4 linked regions of the Caenorhabditis elegans genome follow. The protein of the gene in region 2 purifies or fractionates together with the protein of the main gene of each other region. This does not show direct contact. Each region holds a gene or a part of one and is shown on either strand. Other genes may lie near its edges.

The links.
Region 1: the proteins of ser-1 (region 2) and aps-1 purify together in Caenorhabditis elegans (affinity purification with western blotting, with the first as the bait; one study listed by BioGRID). This does not show direct contact.
Region 3: the proteins of ser-1 (region 2) and apd-3 purify together in Caenorhabditis elegans (affinity purification with western blotting, with the first as the bait; one study listed by BioGRID). This does not show direct contact.
Region 4: the proteins of ser-1 (region 2) and aps-3 purify together in Caenorhabditis elegans (affinity purification with western blotting, with the first as the bait; one study listed by BioGRID). This does not show direct contact.

The regions. Positions count from the first base shown.
Region 1 is NC_003283.11:6,015,358-6,019,957, reverse strand, and holds aps-1 (AP complex subunit sigma), read right to left. Parts: upstream 1,989-4,600; 5' UTR 1,984-1,988; coding exon 1,906-1,983; intron 1,858-1,905; coding exon 1,754-1,857; intron 1,500-1,753; coding exon 1,208-1,499; 3' UTR 1,072-1,207; downstream 1-1,071. Other genes in the region: picc-1 (PAC-1 interacting and coiled-coil domain-containing protein 1), read right to left, coding at 928-952; rpt-2 (putative 26S proteasome regulatory subunit 4), read left to right, coding at 2,290-2,452, 2,499-2,719, 2,765-3,487, 3,534-3,758; Transcription factor fos-1, read right to left, coding at 4,267-4,388.
Region 2 is NC_003284.9:16,577,589-16,583,588, forward strand, and holds the start of ser-1 (G-protein coupled receptors family 1 profile domain-containing protein), read left to right. Parts: upstream 1-2,156; coding exon 2,157-2,220; intron 2,221-4,337; coding exon 4,338-4,631; intron 4,632-5,456; coding exon 5,457-6,000.
Region 3 is NC_003280.10:3,542,659-3,548,616, reverse strand, and holds the start of apd-3 (AP-3 complex subunit delta), read left to right. Parts: upstream 1-2,185; 5' UTR 2,186-2,195; coding exon 2,196-2,291; intron 2,292-2,342; coding exon 2,343-2,438; intron 2,439-2,574; coding exon 2,575-2,663; intron 2,664-2,772; coding exon 2,773-2,856; intron 2,857-3,681; coding exon 3,682-4,048; intron 4,049-4,751; coding exon 4,752-4,875; intron 4,876-5,543; coding exon 5,544-5,958.
Region 4 is NC_003279.8:1,153,683-1,158,692, reverse strand, and holds aps-3 (AP complex mu/sigma subunit domain-containing protein), read left to right. Parts: upstream 1-2,672; coding exon 2,673-2,945; intron 2,946-2,985; coding exon 2,986-3,291; 3' UTR 3,292-4,179; downstream 4,180-5,010. Other genes in the region: Y48G8AL.7 (Origin recognition complex subunit 6), read right to left, coding at 661-1,122; rpl-17 (Large ribosomal subunit protein uL22), read right to left, coding at 1,274-1,419, 1,598-1,722, 1,804-2,096; znf-236 (C2H2-type domain-containing protein), read left to right, coding at 4,310-4,945.

The sequences.
Region 1 (4,600 bases), on a different chromosome or scaffold from region 2:
GCGAGAACAAAACCTGGTTTAGTTCTGCGTACCCACAAAAACCAATTACTTGTACATTGCTATTAGGAAAAACTATTATCGATTTTCAACATGTGATTATTTTTAATGCACCACGTAAAGCTAATTTAAATCTACCAAGTGAAAAATGGAGTTCCGTTGAATTATATACATTTATTGTTATTACTTGAAATCGTTCTTTCCTAAAGTTAAAAGCAACTGGGAAGCGTTATTTCGAACCAACTCTTTGGCTGATTTTCAAGACTGAAAAAAATAGCGAGGTTTGTTTATGATTTCTAGGGTCTCATGGACTGCGAATATTGAAAATGCGAATACTTATTCAAATAATGTGATGCGTACTTCTGCTTTCTGCCAAGATTTTAGATCAAAAATTAACTACGACTCAAAAACTAGGTGAAAGAACAAGTGTGTGCTGGAGCAAATTGATGGATACTTGAGAGAATGAGTGAATCCGCGCGGAAACATTTCCCGCTGTCTCCGCCTTCACTGCCCTTGTTCAATGTAAAACCAAAAACAATGCAAAGTATAGTGGATGGGAAGAGGAAGAAGTATTGGGCAGAAAACATGAAGAGGACACAAACATCTACTGTACGAAAATGATTAAACTTTGAGAAAACGGAAGTGATCGAAACAATTTTGACTAGTTTAATCATACTTATCGAAATTTCAGATAAATGATATTTTGAAATTCGACACCAACAAGAAGGTGAACATTGTGCTTTGTAATCTAACAAATGACAATTCCGGCAGAGGTGCCAATCATTCCTACATTCATTCCGTTCGAACTGACATGTTACACTGCCAACGTTCGCATATTACCCCCCGTTGAATTATCCTTGAATCCACCTTTCCCCTGTTCGTGTTTTACACTCATGTGCGGGAAACTCGGCAAAATTCACATTAGCTCACCTCGTCTCGGAGTTGTGATAATCATCCGCTTCGAAACCTGAGAAAGTTCAAAACTTTAAAGAAAAAATTGAAAAAAGTGTAGAAATAATGCAAGTCATGCATTGAAGTTTCCTAACAGAAAGAATACATAATGGAAGATTGAAAAATGAATGTTTTCTTCTCTTATTCACATGAATATTATCACAACCAGACACATAGCCAGGATAAATAAAGTAAGGTGGAAGTATTTGGTATTTACGGAAGCTTTCAAAGTCAATAAATTATGTTACTATTATCTTCATTATCCCAAACCGTGATCCTCGAAGAATCCTTGTGGAGTTTCTTCTTCTTGAATGAGATCTTGGGCAGCAATCGCCTTCAAAACTTGTTTTTTACTGGTTTCCTGGATTTCACCAGCCAGTAAAAATTCGTCGAGTATGAAGTAAGCTTTTTCGAAGTTGAAGATGATATCCAGCTCACAAACACTTCCAAAATATTTGTCGAGGAGTTCTACGTAACGATGAATGACTTCCAAAGTGATGAGCTCGTTGTCGTTTTGTTCGATGGCGCAGCAGAAATACAGAGACGCGTATCTGAAATTGTTGAGATTAAAAATTGAACGAATTGTTAAGTTTTTGTTTCATTTATCACAAAAATGTCTATTAAACAACTAAATTTGACGCCAAAATATTTTTCATGAATAAAAAACGTAATAACTTCGGATTTAGGTGTGTAACTATAATTTTCAAGAAATTTTGATTATAAACTTGTAAGTTATTTTCAGAAGGAACAATTTTAAGGCATGACAGGAAATGGGAGTTGTTACTTTTGAATATAAAATACGAACCGTTTGTAGACAACTTTCAAATCCTTGTATTCGAGGAACGCACACATTTTCGGTTTTCTCGCCAGAATTTGAGTGATGAGTTCGCGGCAAATTTTCTTCTTTTGCTGAAAATTGAGTGTGAAATTACACATATGAATAGGAAATACACTTACCTTGTCGGGGTAAGCAGTGTACCATTTCTGCAGCCGCAGTTTGCCCTGGCGACTGAAGAGAAGCATGTATTGCATCATGTTTACTGAAAACAAGAGTATGAACAATCGTTTGCAAACTTTAAAACGCTGAAAATACTTAAAAATCAATTGAAAAATTAGATTTTCTGAATAAAACAGACATGTGGCTTCGTCAATAAAAACAACGAAGCTCCGAAAATACGAAACCGCGCGTTGTTTAGTTCTCACCAGAGCGCGCTTGCATTGTCATCATCAACGCTGTATTTTTTTAAATCATTCTTCGTTCTACTTATTTTATATCTTTCAATTGTTTTCTTTTTCAAACGTGGACTTATTATTTTTCATATAAAATCATTATTTTCTAGAATGGGGCAACAACAGTCAGGTTTCGGTGGAAGAGGAAATGACCGCGGTGCCGGAGATGGAGAGAAGAAGGAAAAGAAGAAATATGAGGCACCGATTCCATCTAGGATTGGAAAGAAGAAGAAGGGGTCTAAGGGACCTGACGCCGCTAGCAAACTTCCAGCTGGTAAGTTTCAATCTAGTGTGTATTTTAACTGATGATTCGGTTTTAGTCACACCACATGCCAGATGCCGTCTGAAGTTGCTGAAGAGCGAAAGAATCAAGGATTATTTGTTGATGGAGCAAGAATTCATTCAAAACCAGGAGCGTTTGAAGCCACAAGAGGAGAGACAAGAAGAAGAGCGCGCCAAGGTGGACGAGCTCCGTGGAACACCAATGGCAGTCGGATCACTTGAGGAAATTATCGATGATCAGCACGCCATTGTTTCAACTGTAAGAATCAATATATCGATAATATTTTCTTATTTCAATATTTAGAACGTCGGAAGTGAGCATTACGTCAACATCATGTCATTCGTCGACAAGGAACAACTCGAGCCGGGATGTTCAGTCCTTCTCAACCACAAGAATCACGCCGTCATCGGAGTTCTCTCCGATGATACAGATCCTATGGTGTCTGTCATGAAGCTCGAAAAAGCACCACAAGAAACGTATGCCGATGTTGGTGGTCTTGATCAGCAAATTCAAGAAATTAAAGAAGCAGTTGAGCTTCCACTGACTCATCCTGAATACTACGAAGAGATGGGAATCCGGCCTCCAAAGGGAGTTATTCTATACGGTTGTCCTGGTACTGGAAAAACGCTACTTGCCAAGGCTGTTGCTAATCAGACGTCAGCTACTTTCCTTCGTATTGTTGGTTCGGAACTTATTCAGAAATACCTCGGAGATGGTCCAAAGATGGTCCGTGAGCTCTTCCGCGTTGCTGAGGAGAATGCACCATCAATTGTGTTCATTGATGAAATTGATGCTGTTGGAACAAAACGTTACGATTCGAACTCTGGTGGAGAACGTGAAATTCAGCGGACTATGCTTGAACTTCTCAATCAACTTGATGGATTCGATTCCCGTGGAGATGTTAAAGTTTTGATGGCCACTAACCGCATCGAATCTCTCGACCCTGCTCTCATTCGTCCAGGTCGTATTGATCGTAAGATTGAATTCCCCCTGCCAGATGAAAAAACGAAGCGCCGTATCTTCCAGGTTGGAACAATTTTTTCTAAACATTATATGAAGTTTTTATTTTCAGATCCATACATCTCGAATGACACTCGGCAAAGAAGTTAACCTCGAAGAGTTCATCACAGCAAAGGACGAGTTGAGTGGAGCTGATATCAAGGCTATGTGCACAGAAGCTGGTCTCTTAGCTCTTCGCGAGCGTCGTATGCGTGTCACGATGGAAGATTTCCAGAAGTCCAAAGAAAATGTGCTCTACCGTAAGAAGGAAGGAGCTCCAGAAGAACTCTATTTGTAAATGTGCCCCGTTTTATTTATTTTTTTTGTATTTTCTCTTTCCCAATTTATTTTATTCCCTTTTTGAACGTCCCGTTGCACAAAAACCGATTTAATGTAATTTTAAATCTGGATTGATTGAGGTAAATGATTCATGATGAAAAATATTCGTTTATGTGACATTGGGATTGATGGTTGGTAAGGAAAGTTCATGAATTTAATGAAACTGAAGAAGAAAAAAATGGAGAAAATCGACTTGAAGATTTACCAGTGAAGAAGTTGATGGTTTCGAAGAATAAGAAAATGATGTTACAGTTGAATGTATTTCTTATCACAATAATTGGAAACGGAAAGTTGGGGGAATTTCAGTAGCTAAAAGTGAAACTATAATGAGAAAAGAGAGAACTGGCTGAATTTAAAGATATGGAAATTGGATAGAAAATCGGGAAATTGTATGAAATTTTGTAATAATGAGAGCTGGACGGGGAAAATTACAAATGCACGCTACAGAAAATGATTTGAATCGGAATCTAGAGTGGTCGGAGATCAGCATCCGGATGTGGTTGAATCGGGGTTGGAGTTGAAACGAAGTTCATTGTTGGCTGACCAGAAGGTGTCAGACCAGTGTTGGAGGAAAGCAAGTCGAATGGGCCTGGAATGAAAATCGTTAATTATATTTTGAGAAATAAAAATAACACTTTTTAGCCCGGGATGAAACTGGAAAAATTTAAGAAAATTTTCGTATATTGTAGAAATATCGGCATTTGAATTAAAATTATGCAAATTTCTGGGTCTTGGCACGCCAACAACTTTCCAGCTACCGTACTCGCAATTGTAGTTCCAATTTTAACATTTTTTATATTT
Region 2 (6,000 bases):
CGATAAAGTTAGGTTTCAAGTTTGATTTCTGGTTGCCTATTTTCCAATTTCCGCTGTGTCTTCGAGCATTTCGAGGATCCCGAGATTCGCGAATCTCAAGCTGAAAACATTGAATTGAAACCCAAAATCTGCCAATATTTGGGTTTCATTTGGTGAATGCGTTTCTCGGAAAATGTAGAAAATGGAAATTTTGAACTCTAAAGAAAGTGGATGAATAAGCTCAGCAAAGAGTTTTTCTATGCCATAGAACAAAATTTTTGGCAAAATAAATATGCTTTGTACACGTAGTAGGTTTATGACGGATTTATTTTGTAAAACGAGCTTTTCCAAAAGTCAGACTTATTTGTGCATTTGAACTGTGATTTAAAATTCAAATTTTTTTCTGACATTTCCACCCACATTTTGATCTATGTAAATTTACAAACATCTATATATAAATATCCTTAATGTTGTTTTTAAATAAACAAGTACATACAAACAGCAATTATTGAAAAGTTGACAAAAGCCATGGATCAGATTTAGTGTTTTGGGAATTTGCTTCAGTACCCTTCTTCAAAGAAACTTTTGAGAAGAAAATCGTCCCTTTCCAAGAAATGTGTCTAAACAGCTTTGTTGAGCCGTTCCAAGGGATATGTTAGAATAGCGATAGTGTTGAGATTTGAAGTATACTAATTTTTCGAAAAGTTTGAAAGCATATAATTTTTTTATTTTTTTTTTGTTGGCAGAAAATTTGAAACAAAAAAAAATAATCGAAGTACCAATTAATCCGAAAGTCTAGCGTAAAGTTTCCGAAAAGGAAAAAAACATTTCTAATCCTAAAAAGTAAGCATATCACCTTAGAAAATGATAAATGTATGTATGTTCAATGTTTTAATAGGGTTATAACGCCCACGTACCAAAAAAATATATTAAAGCCAAATATTATATAATTTTACCTTTTTGAAAATCTTAACACTCTGTATTACAACCCTAAAATGACGGTGTCTTAGGAATTCTGAAAATTTTTTATCCAAATGAAAATTTTCAAAAAATGTGGTTACAAATACCTATATTTCTTAAAGTCTATGGCTTTCTTTTTGTGTCAGATTTATAAATTTGTAGATACACTTATCTTCTCAATTACACAGATAACACGTTCTTGTATGTCTTACTCAGCATTTGGTGGCAACTTCTTGCTTACGTCTAGCCCAAAAATGCTACTTGAATTCAGAAGTTGGTAAAGCTTATGTTTTGCAAAATTGCAGCGCCCGACAATTTTTGAGTTTCGCGCCGTTCAAAAAACTTGGGTTGCATAGCGCCAAAATGAAAGCCCTATTCTTGTATTTTAATGCTTGGCTAACCCATTACAAAGGTTGGATCAAATTTGGACTAAACTAAGGCCCGAACTAAGCCGGTCAACTTCTGACTATAATACTTTCCGGCCACCTAGGAGCGCAAAATTGCTAACAAATTTCTTATTGATTCACAAGTATTTTAATTTCCAATGAAACCCCCAATTTTCACCATTATTATTACTCTGGCATAGTCTCTTGTTGGCTAAACTCATATTTTTTTCTTCTTAAGCCGCCGCCCAGGTGTGATACAGTTTCCTTTTGTTTGTCACTTTTACCTGCCTCTCCAGCTCACCACACCTTTCAACCGAACAGCTTAACTGTTCTTTGCACTTTGTGCAATCCAGAACTGACAATTGAGGTGTACGTATGTAGTAAGATACAAGATATCCCAGTACAGACCTCCCACTTCAATCCCGACACAGCGTTTACCACTGTGACGTTCTCTCTTTCTCTCCGCTCTCCCCTCATTCTGACGTTGTGTTGTTTGCCAGTAGGTCGCGGCACTCATAAAAAAGCTGTTGGAACTCTCGGCGACCTTCTTTTCTTCTGCTCGGCTCCCGGGGGCTCCCATGTGAGGCGCGCCCCGCGTACCATATGATAACGCACTTTGACCACTCACCGCGCCGCTAATGGCCCTTACTTATGCAGGCAGCCTCTTTTCCTGTGTTTTCACACATTTTTCGTTTTGTGACTCCTCTTTTTTCATCTTCTGTTTCTCCTTTCCGCAGTCTCCCTGCTGACTTGGCAATTAGCACTTATTTGTTGGAAAATACGTGAAAAGTGCTTGGTTTTTGTTTCAGAGGTGCACTCCTCTCAACCTAGATGCTCATTGAACTCTTCTCACACAGCGCTCCACCTGAGGATCCCTACTATGTACCTGCAAATGGTAAGTCTGATCAGTTGAACTTTTCATGCGTTTTTTTGGGGATGAACCATAGACAATGATGATGTTTTCGTTTGTGTCGGAATCTAGGAATAGATGCTTCTTGCAAGAGAACAAAAGAATTTGAGGAAGGGGGTGAAGAATTCAGTGGGGAAAAATGGGCGGAAAAACTCAAAAAGTTATGCGCATACCTAACGTGTGTGCATATTCAATCACCGTCTTCCTCTAAAATTTTGACGTCTACGTCTCCGTTTCGTCGCCACCCACCAGATTTTTTTTTCGGTATTCAGTGAAAAGGGGAGCATGATCTCAAAAACTCTAAACTCCCAAAAAAAAATCTGAACAACAGGATCTCACATTTCCAATACATATCCACATAGACAGTGGCGGCGCTTAAAGAAAGGGCAAAAACGGTTTTGTTTGTTTGATGGCTTCTCTCGCTAGGCTGAGTAAATCAAAACCGAAAATCTCTAGCCGTCACAGCCAATACCATAAGAAACGTCAAAGGTCGTACGTGTTAAATTTGATCCTCAATGAGTAGACTGTACCAGGGTCATAAAGGTGATTGGTCGGCGCCTATCCAACAAAACAAGAGCAGCACAATTCAATTTTAAATCCGAATGTTTAAATTTAACTTATTAATTTTGTCTTCGGAACATTTTTAGTAAAATTACGTCATTTAAAAACATTCGAAACCAATTTTACTTTAAAATTTTTATTCTAATATTTTAAGTTTACAAAATAAATAAAAAGCTAAATATAAGCTTTATTTTTAAATTTTTGAGCTGATCCCTACCTTTTCCGTAATTCTATTTCCCATTTTTGAATCAAAGTTTTTGAAACCTTTTCCTTTTCCCGACGGATTTTGTCAAAAAGTCTAGCTCTCAGAATAGCCCGACCTTTTTTTCAAACTGATCCAGCTACAAAAACCAAAAGGAAAAGATTACGAACGGATTAAAAAAAGAGTTGCAAATTCATTAATATGAGTTCAAAAATGGCAACTCATCAAGCGACCGGTTTTTGATGATTAATACTTTCATAAATTGAAACTCAAATGTTTTTGAGTAATTAATTTCTGCTATTATTTTCAAACAACATTCTTCATTTATAATTTATCGCAAATTCGTCTCCCGAAACCCTTAATCATGCATTTTTGTGTTTTTGTTTCTGAAAGAATGACAAAAATTTTCAATAATGCTTTAATAATTTCTGTTGCCAAAAATATTTGTTTGTGGGGGTTGTAATTTTGAAATTCCAGGTGAAAATATTTTGAAAAATCAAGTTCTAGTAGCAAGTTGAACTAGTTTTTTATTCTGAGTTTAACGAACAAATGTCAATTCACGTCAGAGAAGAAATATTTTTGGAACAATATTTTTTTTGGAAATTGTGTAATTTTCACAAAAATTTTGAAAATTTCTGTCCCTGTGTTTCCCTAAAATTGACATAATTTTTGATGAGTTCATTTTATAAAAATTTCTTGATGGTGTAAAAATTATAAAGAACAATAAAATTGTGTTTTAAAGAAAAATTATATTCAAAAAATCTTATTTTTAATTGCTGGGATCTATAAAACTGGGCAAAAAGTGTTGTCTATTTACGTTCAGGAAATCTTGACTAGAACATTTTGCGAAATAGCAAAAACTCAATTCAATAATTTTTTAAAGCTAGTATTTTTTGGAACCATTAACTCGAAATTTGAAAACTGGAACCAAAAAAGTGGGCGGAGTTTCCAAAACGCCAGCAAAAAATCATTGGCAGCTCGTCATACTTTTTTCGCTTTCCTCTCTCTTTTTCTCCCCCCGGCCAGCCTTCTCCTCTCTCCACTGACCTGTGATGTACCTTAACAATTTCAAAACGAACGACACATTCGGAAACATCTAATTTCTCACCCATTTTTTATTATCAGAGAGCAACCAATTGTTGCGTGGGGTAGTGAAAAAGAAACACGTACATACATCTCTTTTCTAGATTAATCTAATCTAGAAAAGGCGAAGGCCGCATCGAAGGCTTCACTTTGATTTACTTTTGTGCGTGCGTCTGCATTTTTTTTTCATTCAATTACAAATTCATCATCATCATCCCAATTCAATCAACCAATTTTTCAACAATTCAACATCTAGAATCATTTGCAACGACGGCGCTCACACCGCACTTCTCCACAACGAGCGTATGGTCGATACGGGTGCAGTTGATCCCGACGATGGGAATCTACCATTTCAACGGTGTCGCCTTGTTTCTGTTGCCGGTGCTTTGTCTGATTGGGTTGATCGGCAACTTTTTGGTGTGTGTGGCAATTGCGACGGATCGAAGGTTACACAATGTCACCAACTACTTTTTATTCTCATTGGCTCTGGCTGATCTTCTGGTTTGTTGTATTGTGATGCCATTGAGTATAGTGGTCGAGGTTCGGCACGGTCAGTGGAATATTTTTGGAATATTTTTTTAATTTAGGGCTAGAAAAGAAAATTCCTATACTTCCTATACTGTTCCTATACTGGAAAATGTACATAGGATTATTGTTTCTACAAAAATTGAAACTGTAATAAAGAAAAGAAAAAACCTCATAAATAATTTTGATCTACCTGTCCCACTGAATTATGGCTTAATTTTGGCTTAAAACTGAATATTTGGTGTCTACACTATATGGCCGACATTTTTTAGGTTACGCGACTTTTTAAATAACCTAAGAAAGACAATTTAAAATGCATTCGGCAGAGGTGAATTGTGTAGGTATAAGGTAGGCGTAGGTAACTTTAAAGCCTAATTTTTTTTGCTGTCATGCAAGTTATAGGGAACAGTGCAATATTTTAGGCTGATAAAAAAAACTTAACCCAAAATGCTTTTTTACTTAATTTTTTACCTTTTTCAATTTGTGAAAACGAATCAGATGATTAATAGGCTATAAACTAAACTATTGTTTGTTTTTTTCAACTTTATTTTTCCCTTCTCCAGGTGTGCAAATACCACCAGCGCTGTATTTTGTCAATTAGCTAATAATTTCGATGAATTTTTTTCAAAAGTATCTAACTATAAGCATCTTTGAGCGCATTTGTTAATAAATAATTAGAGGAACGAATAAAAAATGAGAATAAAAAAATCATGAAATATTGAGTGGGAAGTGTAAAGATTTTTGAACGAATAGAAAAAAAAAGTTAATTATATATGTAAAATTATAAATTTAGTTAATTGAAGATCGAAATAATCTTCACAAAAAAAAAAATTTTAAAAAGTAATTTCAGGGGTGTGGACATGGAGCGTGTCGATGTGCCTTTTGTACGTCTACTCGGACGTATTTCTGTGCTCGGCGAGCATTGTCCACATGTCCGTCATCTCGCTGGACCGATATCTCGGTATCTCTCAACCACTTCGCACCCGCAACAGATCAAAAACACTGATATTTATCAAAATTGCCATCGTGTGGGTTGTCACTCTACTTGTCTCCTGTCCGATTGCCGTGCTGGCGATGCATGACACGGCAAACATTTTGCGAAACAATCAGTGTATGATCTTCAGCAGATATTATATTATCTACGGGTCAACCATGACTTTCCTCATACCGTTGTGCATTATGGGGGTCACTTATGCAAAGACAACACAGTTGTTGAACAAGCAAGCTTCAATACTAAGTCAAAAGGCAGGTGATAAATTCAATGGGAATGGTCTTCGAAGAACCATGCCTCATAGGAAACTGGGTTATGCTAGAACCTACTCTGCAACTGTCAATGGTACCATTGCAAACGGAAAAGCCATTGGAGCACATGGCAGGACTATGTCGAGCATTTC
Region 3 (5,958 bases), on a different chromosome or scaffold from region 2:
CACTTATTTTTTGATTTAAAGATTTTTGATCAGACACCTGGTTTTGGAGTTACTGGCAAAAACATGAAAAATTAGGATTTTTTGAAAATTGGACCAAGCGCACTTCTATCGACTGTAACTCAGAAACGTGAGGAGATCCAACGTTGCACCAAACTGATAAATTGTAGCTTATAATATGTACATTAATGTTGTAATACATTACTTTTGTATATCTCTCATGGTTTCAAAGTTAGCACCGCTCAAAAATAAAAAAGACAATTTTGCAAGCGTTTTAGGCACTTCCAACAGATGTAGCGCTACCAATAAGCTATGCCTGAGTCTGAAAATTTTCAGTTTTATTTAACTAACTGTCTAATACATCTACGCATACAAAGTTTTTGATTTCATGAGGAAATAAAAAAAATCGAAAAAAAAAATTTTGTTTCGTTGTCATAGTTCGGAGTTTTAAACAACCTGGAAGTTGACCGAAATGGCTGATATCGTTGGGCTTGTCATTACTAACAGTCCTCTATACAACCGCAAAAAAATATCCAAGAAAAAATCAAAACTGGAAAAAAACGACAAAACTTATTGAACGACCTAATAGTTTGTGCTCGCCGCTGACTAAAATTGATAAGATAATTTTAGTTCTTATCTGTCTGTCTCCCGCTCGTACTGTTCCTCCAGTTGTTATTAGTCTTCTATGATTCTGCTAGATAATAATAAATGTTTTGTCTGAAATTGTCTGAAAATTCCATGCGATCACATTTCGAAGAGGCGGCGGCGACGGTTCGAAAAAATTCAAAAAGTCTGAGAAATCGACGAGCCGATCAGGGGTTTCTCCTAGCGCAGACGTCATTTCAGTTGTGAGTTTTTGAAAAAAAAGATTGAACAGATGAAAACGCGCTCTATTGCGAATTATCGGTGAATCTCATTAGAGCGCGCTTTCTAGAAGGTTTTAAGATGAACATTTCGAAAAAAAACGTTCCAATTTCCTTTTTTAGGTCAAACTTCTGGCCTAGAATTCCCTCTAGTCCCTCCAACACTTGTCGTTGTCCTTAATAATTCTTCAGTGCCTTTGGTCGATATATCCGTCTCCGCAAGCTGTGCTGCTGCACCCCTCTGTGCCGCTACTTTCCTGTCTGCGTCTCGACCCCTGCCCGCTCTATTTCCCTCATTTTCTCTCCGCACGTTCTATGTTTGATTCTATCTTTGGGGCGAGGAGGGAAGAAGATGCGTCGTCTTTTTCGTCCTCTTTTAGGAGCCCTTCTGTGTTTGGAACTGACGCAGAAGCTGAAGAGATGGAGGACGACGTCCCCATTTAATCCTTCACTCATTTTATCGCCTTTTCCCCACAAAAACCCGCGCTTTTCGGACATTTTTTTGGAATTTTTCGGGTTTTTTTTTGAGGCATGTTGCACCATGTTAGTTCCTGCGAATTTAAGGTTTTTATTTTATTGTGAAATTTTTTTAAAGATTTTTTTAAATTTTGAAAAACATTAATTTGTCTGTTTTAAAGCAAATTTAGAATTTAATTTACCTATTTTTTTCGGATTTTCTTCTATTTCTGGCCATCTAAACCGAAATTAGAATGGATTTTACAGAAATGCTACCCAAAATTAATTCATTTAAACATTTCCGGTTTTCTTGTGGCTTTTCGTGATTAATTTATTCATTTTTACCAAGAAAAAACAATAAAAATCGATAAAAACTTCAATAAATCGATTTATTCGAGTACTGTTTTAAAGGCGCATGACATCAAGATTTTGTTGGGTTTTGACACGAGTTTTTGTTTTGTGCGAGTTCAGGTTGACTCTTTTGTATTTTTCAATTAAAGAAATTGTGAAATAGGTTGATGAAATTTTAAAAACACTTTTTATTGTTTTCGTGGAGAAAAAATCAGATTTCGTGCTTAAATTCTGAAAAATTATGGTAAAAACCGTATGCCTTCTTTAAAGGTACATGGAGGAAGTTTTAGTTTGGGTCTCGAGGCGATAGTTTTGAAGATTATTTTATTTTATTTTTTGACGGTTTTAAAGCAATTTTTCTCTATTTAACCAAGATTTTTTGTTGTTTTTGTCACAAAAATCACAACATTAAATTTTTTAAAAATATTTTTCACAAAAATCACCTCACCGAACCCTTCTGCGTGTCATTTTTCACTCCCAAAACGAAAAAAACTTTAAAAAAAGCAAAATTTTTTCAGATTCGAAGAAATGGCGTTACGCAAGGTGCGTAGCAACATTGACCGGATCTTTGACAAGTCTCTGACCGACTTGATCCGCGGAATTCGCAATAATAAGGATAATGAGGTGGGATTTATTGGTTTTCCGGGAAAAAATCTAATTTTTTGATATTTTCAGTCCCGATACATCACTCAATGTATGGAAGAGATCAAGCAGGAGCTCCGACAAGACTCGATTTATGTGAAGGCGAACGCAATTGAAAAGTTGGCCTATGTGAGTTCCGGCGTGCCGAAAAACTTGAAAATTAGCCTCTATTCAGTGGAAAAACGCTCTAAAAATGAAGAAAAACACGAAAAATTGAATTTTTCACTTAAAAATCTGTAAAAACCATGACTTTTTATGTTTTCAGCTCCAAATGCTCGGTTATGACATCTCATGGGCTTCGTTCAACGTGATAGAAGTGATGGCTTCTACAAAATACACGGAAAAGCGAATAGGGTTGGTTTTTATTCGATTTTTGCTGAATTTTGACCTAAAAACTCCGGTTAAAACGTATTTTTCGATGATTTTAAGCCGAAAATTCAGTAAAAAATCAATAATTTTTCAGATATCTCGCCGCTGCACAAAGCTTCCACGATGAGACTGATGTCCTTATGTTGACGACGAATTTGATAAGAAAAGATGTGAATAGGTAAGGTTCTTGGGCGAAAAAGTGTGAAAAACTGGAAAAAATACAAATTTTCGCCAATTTTGAGCTAAAAAATGCGATTTTTGATGTTGGAAATGTTGAAAAAATGCAAATTTGGATTTTGGCAAGAAATTTCTGGAAATTTACAAATAAAAAATGAAATTTCATTTTTTTAAATTAGAATCTTTTTAAAATTTTATTTTTCTAATAAAAAAAACCGAAAAATATCATTTTTTCTGAAAAAAAAATTGAAAAATTATTTTTTTCTCAAAAAATTCAATTTTTTATCTAAAAAAACGATAAAAAACCATAATCAGAAAAAAAGGCAAAAATCCAGATTTTTCTTTTAAAAAATGGATAAAAAACACAATTTTTTCTCTAAAAAATCAAAAAAATTCAGATTTTTGCTTTAAAAAATACAATTTTTTATCTAAAAAATTGATAAAAAATGCATATTTTTTCTGAAAAAAAGGCAAAAATCTAGATTTTTCTGAAAAAAATTGATAAAAAATCCATTATTTTCTCTAAAAAAATCGAAAAAGTTCAGATTTTTTCCCAAAAAAAGGGGAAAAGAAAAAATATAGATTTTTATTTAAAAATTGATAAAAAATCCAATTTTTTCTAAAAAAAAACGGAAAAAATTCGGTTGTTTCTCAAAAAAAAGGAAAAATATAGATTTTATTTCCAAAATAAAATGAAAAAAAAACTGGAAAAAATAATATTTTTTCAAAAAAAATTTTTTTGCCAAAAAATCAATTTTTTCCTCAAAATATCGAAAAAGTTCCAATTTTTTTCAAAAAAAAAATCACGAAAAATTCAATTTTTCAGCTCAAATATGTACGAAAGCGGTATCGCATTGGGTGGTCTCAGCTGCTTCGTAACTCCAGATTTGGCTCGAGATCTCGCAGCGGACGTTGTAAATTTGCTCTCTTGCTCGCGGAATTATACGAGAAAACGGGCGGTTCTGCTGCTTTATAAGATATTTTTAAAGTATCCAGACGCTCTACGACCAACATTTCCCCGATTGAAAGAAAAATTGGAAGATCCGGATCCGGGAGTTCAGAGCTCGGCGGTTAATGTGATTTGTGAGCTGGCGAGGAAAAATCCGAAGAATTATTTGACACTGGCACCGGTTTTCTTTAAATTAATGACTACTTCTTCGAATAATTGGATGCTTATTAAAATTATTAAATTGGTACGGACATTTCGAGGCAGAAATTGGAAAAAATCGGTTGAAAATTGATTTTTTTTCCGAAAAAATCGTTTTTTTTCGGTTACTTATGCGAAAAAATTGAATTTTTTTCGATTATTTTAAGCGAAAAAATTGGATTTTTTTCGAAAAAAATGATAATAAAATTTCGATTTTCTTTAGAGAAAAAATTGAATTTTTTCGGATTTTTTTTCGATTTTTTTTTCAGAATTTTTTTGGAGAAAAATTGAATTTTTTCGGATTTTTTTTCGATTTTTTTTTCAGAATTTTTTTGGAGAAAAATTGAATTTTTTCGATTTTTTTCTAAAAAAAAGTGAAATTTTCAGATTTTTTTTTTGAGAAAAAAAGCTAATTTTTTTTTCTGAAAAATTGAAGTATTCCGAATTTTTTTTGAATTTTTCGCAAAAAAAAAATAAAAATCTGAAAAAATTTGGAAAAATAATGAAAAAAAAATTTTTTTTTACCAACTTTTTAGGAAAAAAATGAAGCAAAAAATTCGAAAAATTTATAAGTTTTTAAAATTTCAATGTGTTAGAAAAAAATGAACAAAAAGGAAAAAAAAGAGATAAAATAAAAATTTTCCAAAAATTTATTTTTTAATTTTAAATTTTTTTGCATTAAAAATCTGATTGTAATTTATTATTAAATCTCGAAAAAAGTTCCCAAAAAAAACGAATAATATTTTCAGTTCGGAGCCCTCGTCCCACTGGAGCCCCGACTTGGCAAGAAGCTCCTGGAGCCGCTCACAAATCTCATCAATTCAACGTCAGCAATGTCGTTGCTCTACGAGTGTATTAATACTGTTATAGCAGGTAAAAATCGATATTAAAATTTGATATAATTTTTTAGGAAATTATGAAAAAAAATTTTTTTGAAATTTAAAAAATTCGAAACAATTTTTTTTTTCAAATTATAAAGTTTTTTATTGGAATTTTTCAAATTTTAGAATACTAGATAAGTAAAATTTTACGAAAATTTGAAAACAAAAATTTAAAAAAAAAATTTATTTGGAAAAAAGTGAAAAAAAATTCGAAAAAATCAAAAATTAATTTTTTTTTCAATGTTTGAAAATCGAAAAAAATAACTCACAAAAAAGGTAAAATGTACTTTTTTCAAAAAAATAGAAAAAAAAATTAAAAAATTTTTATTCTGTGAAAAAAAATCAATAATTTTTAATTTCAGTATTTTTCAGCTTCAAAATTTGTCAAAGGTGCCAGAAAAAAATTTAAAAAATTAAAAAAAAATCTAGCAAAATATTCGAAAAACATTCTAAATTTAAATGAGCCAGTGGAAAAAAAATTAATTTTTTTAAATAAAAAAAAATAAATTTCAGTTCTTTTTAGCTTAAAATTCGCTGAAATCGGCTGAAAATCGCTCAGAAATTTGAAAATCTTTGACGAAAAAATAATTTTTTGCACCAAAACCGCCCAAAAAAGCTAAAAAATTCCAAATTTTCCACCTAAAACCTCCCAATTTTCAGTACTAATCAGCATCTCAGCCGGCGGAGACCACACCGCTTCCATTCAACTTTGCGTCCAAAAACTCGGCGTTCTCATCGAAGATTCCGACCAAAATCTGAAATATTTGGGGCTCCTGGCGATGGGAAAAATTCTAAAAACCCACCCAAAAGCCGTCCAAGCTCACAAGGACATTGTGCTCCGATGCCTTGATGATAAAGATGAAAGTATTCGAATAAGAAGTCTTGATCTACTTTATGGAATGGTTAGTAAGAAGAATATTGTGGAAATTGTCAAAAAACTAATGGAACACGTCGAAGCTGCCGAAGGAAGTCATTATCGAGATGAGCTTCTGAGCAGAATTATTGGAATATGTAGTTGGAGCAACTATCAATATATTACCAATTTTGAATGGTATATTTCGGTGCTCGTGGAGCT
Region 4 (5,010 bases), on a different chromosome or scaffold from region 2:
AAAACTTGATTGTCTCCATCAGCCGAGTCATCAGCCGCACAGCCCTATTGTGGTGTGCGCCAGGAGCATGTATAACAGAACATGCCGAACAAGAATTGAGGTAGGTACACTCATCGCAAGTGAACTTGAACCGAGAGAGAGAGGGAGATGAATGGGGGGGTTAATTACTGCAAAGACTTTTTTCTGCTTATCAAACACTAGGAGCCAATAAACACCCAAATTGATATTCAGCCCAAAACGACAAAACAAAAAAATAGGACCGGACTTTCCCGCCAACCTAATAATAAGAAATAAAAATAAAAACGTGCAAGCGCGCTCCATCGAACGAATACAATTGGCGGAAATTCAAAAATAATTAGGTGAAAACTGTGATTTTTCTAATTTTCAAAAATCATAAAAATTTTGGCCACATAGGCATGGTTTTAACCAGTTTTCACACTTTAGACAAAATTTTTTCATAAAAAAATGTGTTTTTTCTCGTTTTCGGCCTGAAAACGAAAAAATCGCTTTTTTAGGCCGACAAACGAGGTGAAATAATTGTTTAATAGGAAAAATAGCTTTAAAAACGATAAAAAATCACTAGAAACTACCAAAAACTTTACCGCGCGCCGAGACCCATCTGAAATAATCTCTGCGCCTTTAATTTTTCAAACTACTAACCGCTTCATCGCTGACACTGTAATTCCCAGACGAGAAAACTTCCTCCTCAAACATCAGAACCTTCTCGAGCTCCAATAAAGCTTCATCGAGCTTTGACTGCTCTGCAAGTGCCTTGATACGAATTGAGCTCGTTATTGCTGGCGGACAAAGTGTTGTTAGCTGAAGCATTTCGTCGACATCATTCCATTTTTTCAACTTCATCGCCGATGCAGCTGTGAATGCGGCAGACCGGCAACTTATCTCGCATGTGCTTCCGGTTTTCCGAACGAGTGTCTTTGATTTTTCCAGATTTTCTTTACTTGATGACTGGAAGTTCATCGCTGCGATAAGACATTGTCTCAGAAGACCTTTGATTTCACGATCTGCGCTTGAATTTTTAATCATTGCTAGCTGCTCGGCTGGAGCCACCGCACGGCCGAGGATCAGTGCTGCGCGAGACACGGCTTTTTTCACTGGCAGCATCTGTTTAATATTTCTATTAAAAATTACTAGTATTTACGACCGACTTTCTTGATTACCGAGATACGTTTAAAGCTGAAGAATACTGTTTCGTGTATTTTGTGTAACGGGAAACACTTGCGAACAAACAAAACATTTATCAACAAGAGTTTACTTAGAATTCTCCACGGGCCAACTGGCGGCGTTGCTTTCTCTTCGACTCCTTCTTGACTTTTGGTGCGGCATCATCGGTTGGCTTGGAGACAACATCCTCCTTCTCGGCCAAGATGACCTCGATGTGGCATGGGGAAGACATGTATGCTGAAATTAATTTATTTAAAGCGAGAAAACTTTTTAAAAAATTTTGAAGTTTTCAAATATGCACAATATTCTACGGAGATTTCAAAGTAAATTGCCGCAGAAAACCGACCGCTAAGACTTGCGTGTAGTTTTGGGCACACAAAGAAAAATTTGCTTCAAAGAGCGGAAATCAACTTACGGTTGATTCTTCCGTGGGCACGGTATGTTCTTCTGCGGAGCTTGGCAGCGCGTTGAACGTTGATGTGCTCAATAACGAGGTGGTCAACATCGAGCCCCTTGTACTCGGCGTTGCTCTCAGCGTTCCTGGAAAAATAAACAATTTTTTATCTTTCACTTAACAAAAATTTTTTTAAATTGAGTTGAGAAAATAGGTGTGAAACTCACTTCAAGAGATCGAGGAGGAAGTCAGCGGACTTGACTGGCCATCTCCCCTGGGTGGTGTTCCATTGCTTGGTTTGAGCGGCACGGCCGATTCCTCCGTGGAAACGTCTGAATGGAACGATTTCCTTGTGCTCCTTAACGTGGTTGAGGAAAGCCTGGGCGCGTCTGAGTGGCATGCCACGGAGAGCCATGGCGGCCTCGTGGGTGTTCTTGAAGTGAACGCGGAGATCGGATCCGCGAGCCTTGCACGACTTGGTGCTGTTTTCCGGAGCCCGGGAGTAGTGAACCTTCGTCATTTCGACAAGGAAGATTACCTGAAAATAATACAGTTCAGAAATAAAAATTAGAACGCAGGTCCAATAAAGAACGAGGAAAATTGCCGGAAAAAAATATGTTCAGTTAAATTAATTGAACTCTGGCTTCCCTAGTGCTACACAAGTTTTTTAATTACAAAAAATCACGACAAAAGTTGGAAAATACGAGAAGACCCTATTTTCTTAGTAAAAAACAAAAAAATTGCTAAAATTTCACGATAATTCCTAGTAATTCGTATTAAATATCACTTTACATTAAATTTTTCAATTATTTTTCGAAAAAAAACAGTAAAAAACGGCGCATTTTAGGCCAAAATTGAGTGAAAAAGAGAAAAAGGCCCAAAAATAATCGCGAAATGTATTTAAAGGCGCAAGCGAAACCGTAGTCCGCAGCGATGGGTCTCGCCGCGATCTTGTGTCGATTTACGGGGAGAGGCAACACTCATTGATTTTTATAATTTTTCGCGTTGTTTCGGATAGTTTTTCGCGAATTTCTTCGATAATCTTGCAATTTAAAATGTTTTTCTTTTGTTATTCGTCTAAAAATCATATTTTCAGATGATAAAAGCGATACTTGTCATCAACAATCACGGAAAACCAAGACTTTTAAAATTTTATCAACATTATCCAGAGGAGAAGCAACAGCAAATCGTTCGAGAAACCTTCCAACTGGTGTCAAAGCGCGACGATAACGTCTGCAATTTTCTGGAAGGAGGAACTCTCATCGATGGAAATGACTATCGATTAATCTACAGGCATTATGCCACATTGTATTTCATATTTTGTGTTGATTCTTCTGAAAGTGAACTTGGAATCCTCGATTTGATTCAGGTAAGCTATCCTATTTTTAAAAATCGATTAAAGTGTTCAGGTCTTCGTTGAAACTCTCGACCGCTGCTTCGAAAACGTGTGCGAGCTGGATCTAATCTTCCACGTGGATCGAGTTCACCACATTCTCGGCGAAATCGTGATGGGCGGTATGGTTCTCGAGACGAACATGAACGAGATCCTTCAACGCATCCAGGAACAGGACAAAATCCAGAAGCAAGAGGCTGGAATCACTGCGGCGCCGGCCCGTGCCGTGTCGGCCGTCAAGAATATGAACATTTCCCAGCAGTTGAAGGACATCAAGCTGCCAGATTTACCGTCGCTTTCGAATTTGAAAAATGCATTTTGACCTCGATTTTCTTGGTGCTTCTACTTACACACATTCCACGCTCATCACTTAAACTTTTTCCTCACGAGGGACGAGGAAAAGGGGTTTCTAGGCCATGGCCGAGGATCCGTCAAGTTTCAGCGGCAATTTATCTTGCTTTGTTTTCCGCGTGTTTTCTTTTTTTTTTCACAGATTTTCTCCCGTTTTTTCTTATCAAAACTTATAAATAAATATTTTTTGCAGGCGCTAAAGCAATTTCCAAGTGAAAAATCGTGTATTGAGTCGGCAAGTAGCGGTGAACGTGGGCATTGTAATATGATGGATTACGGGAATACAAAACCTAAACTTTTTCTGAAACATGATACATATGCTGCTTAGATGCTAAAACTACCTGATTTTCATATCGAGACCGCTGAAAAAGTTTTAAGGTTTCCAAAATTCAACTTTTTGTTCGAAAATCTCGACTTTTTCACCAAAAAAGTTGAATTTTGAAAATCTCAAAACTTTTTCAGCGGTCTCGTTATGAAAATCAGGTACTTTCAGAATCTAAGCAGCATATATATCATGTTTCGGAAAAAGTTCAGGTTTGGTATTCCCGTAATCCATCATATTACATTGCACACGTTCACCGCTACTTGCCGACTGAATACATAATTTTTCACTCGGAAATTGCTTTAGCATCTGCAAAAAAATATTTATTCATCAGTTTTAATAAGAAAAAACGGGGGAAAAATCGGTGAAAAACACAAGAAAACACTCGGAAAAGAAAGCAAGATAAATTGCCGCTGAAACTTGTCGGATCCTCGGACATGGCCTAGAAACCGCATTTCCTCGTCCCTCGTTCGAAAATAGTTGCAGTGGCTCGAGCGCTCATCTTGTATTTTTTGAATGTATAAAATTATTTATTTATTATTTACTCCTCATTGAAGGTTTTAGGGATTTTTAAAAAAGTAAAAAAAGTACAGGTCTTCAAAAAAAAATACTTTACAATTAAAATTTTTTTTTAAATTGACCCAATTTTCCATATTTCCCGCAGAAAATGGATTACGACCCGTCCCAATATCGGGAGCGAAACAACGCCTCCTGGGACCGAATCCGGCACGAAAACGCGGCCAGTGTGCGATCGGAGCCAGCTGACTATATGTTTGATTATAGTAATTATAATAATAATAATAATGTACGAGAGCTTGGGTCTCGCCACGAAATTGCTCAATATCCTCCCGCGCAAAATCTGGATTTTGAGCCTGTTCAAAGCCTAGATGGCCTGGATTTTGTGGGTGAAGAAGTCGCAATTCGGGGGGAAATTGAGGAGGTGGAAGACGATGAATCTGAAGACGAATCCGACGAAGAAATCGATCGCCCTGACATTTATTGCATGGAATGTAGATCAAAAATCGAGGATACCAACTCGCATGACTGCAGACTAAAGCCGAAGCTTTTCGAGTGCACAGAATGCCGGGAAAGCTTCAACTTTGAGAAAAATCTGAAAATCCACAAAATTCTCGACCACCTGAAAGCTACTGACTTTGTGAGAGGAACCATTTGCCAATTCTGCTCGAAAGACAAAACTCACGCGCCTTTTAGCCGATTTTCGGCCTATATTGGACATGTAAAAGTTCATTTAAAATCCGATGATTTGGAGTGTGAGCAGTGTGGCAATGAGTTTGAAAATGAGGTAAAAATTGAGGATTTTCTTAGGAAAAATTACAAATTTTCGGTGAAAATTCTAGGGAAATTTGA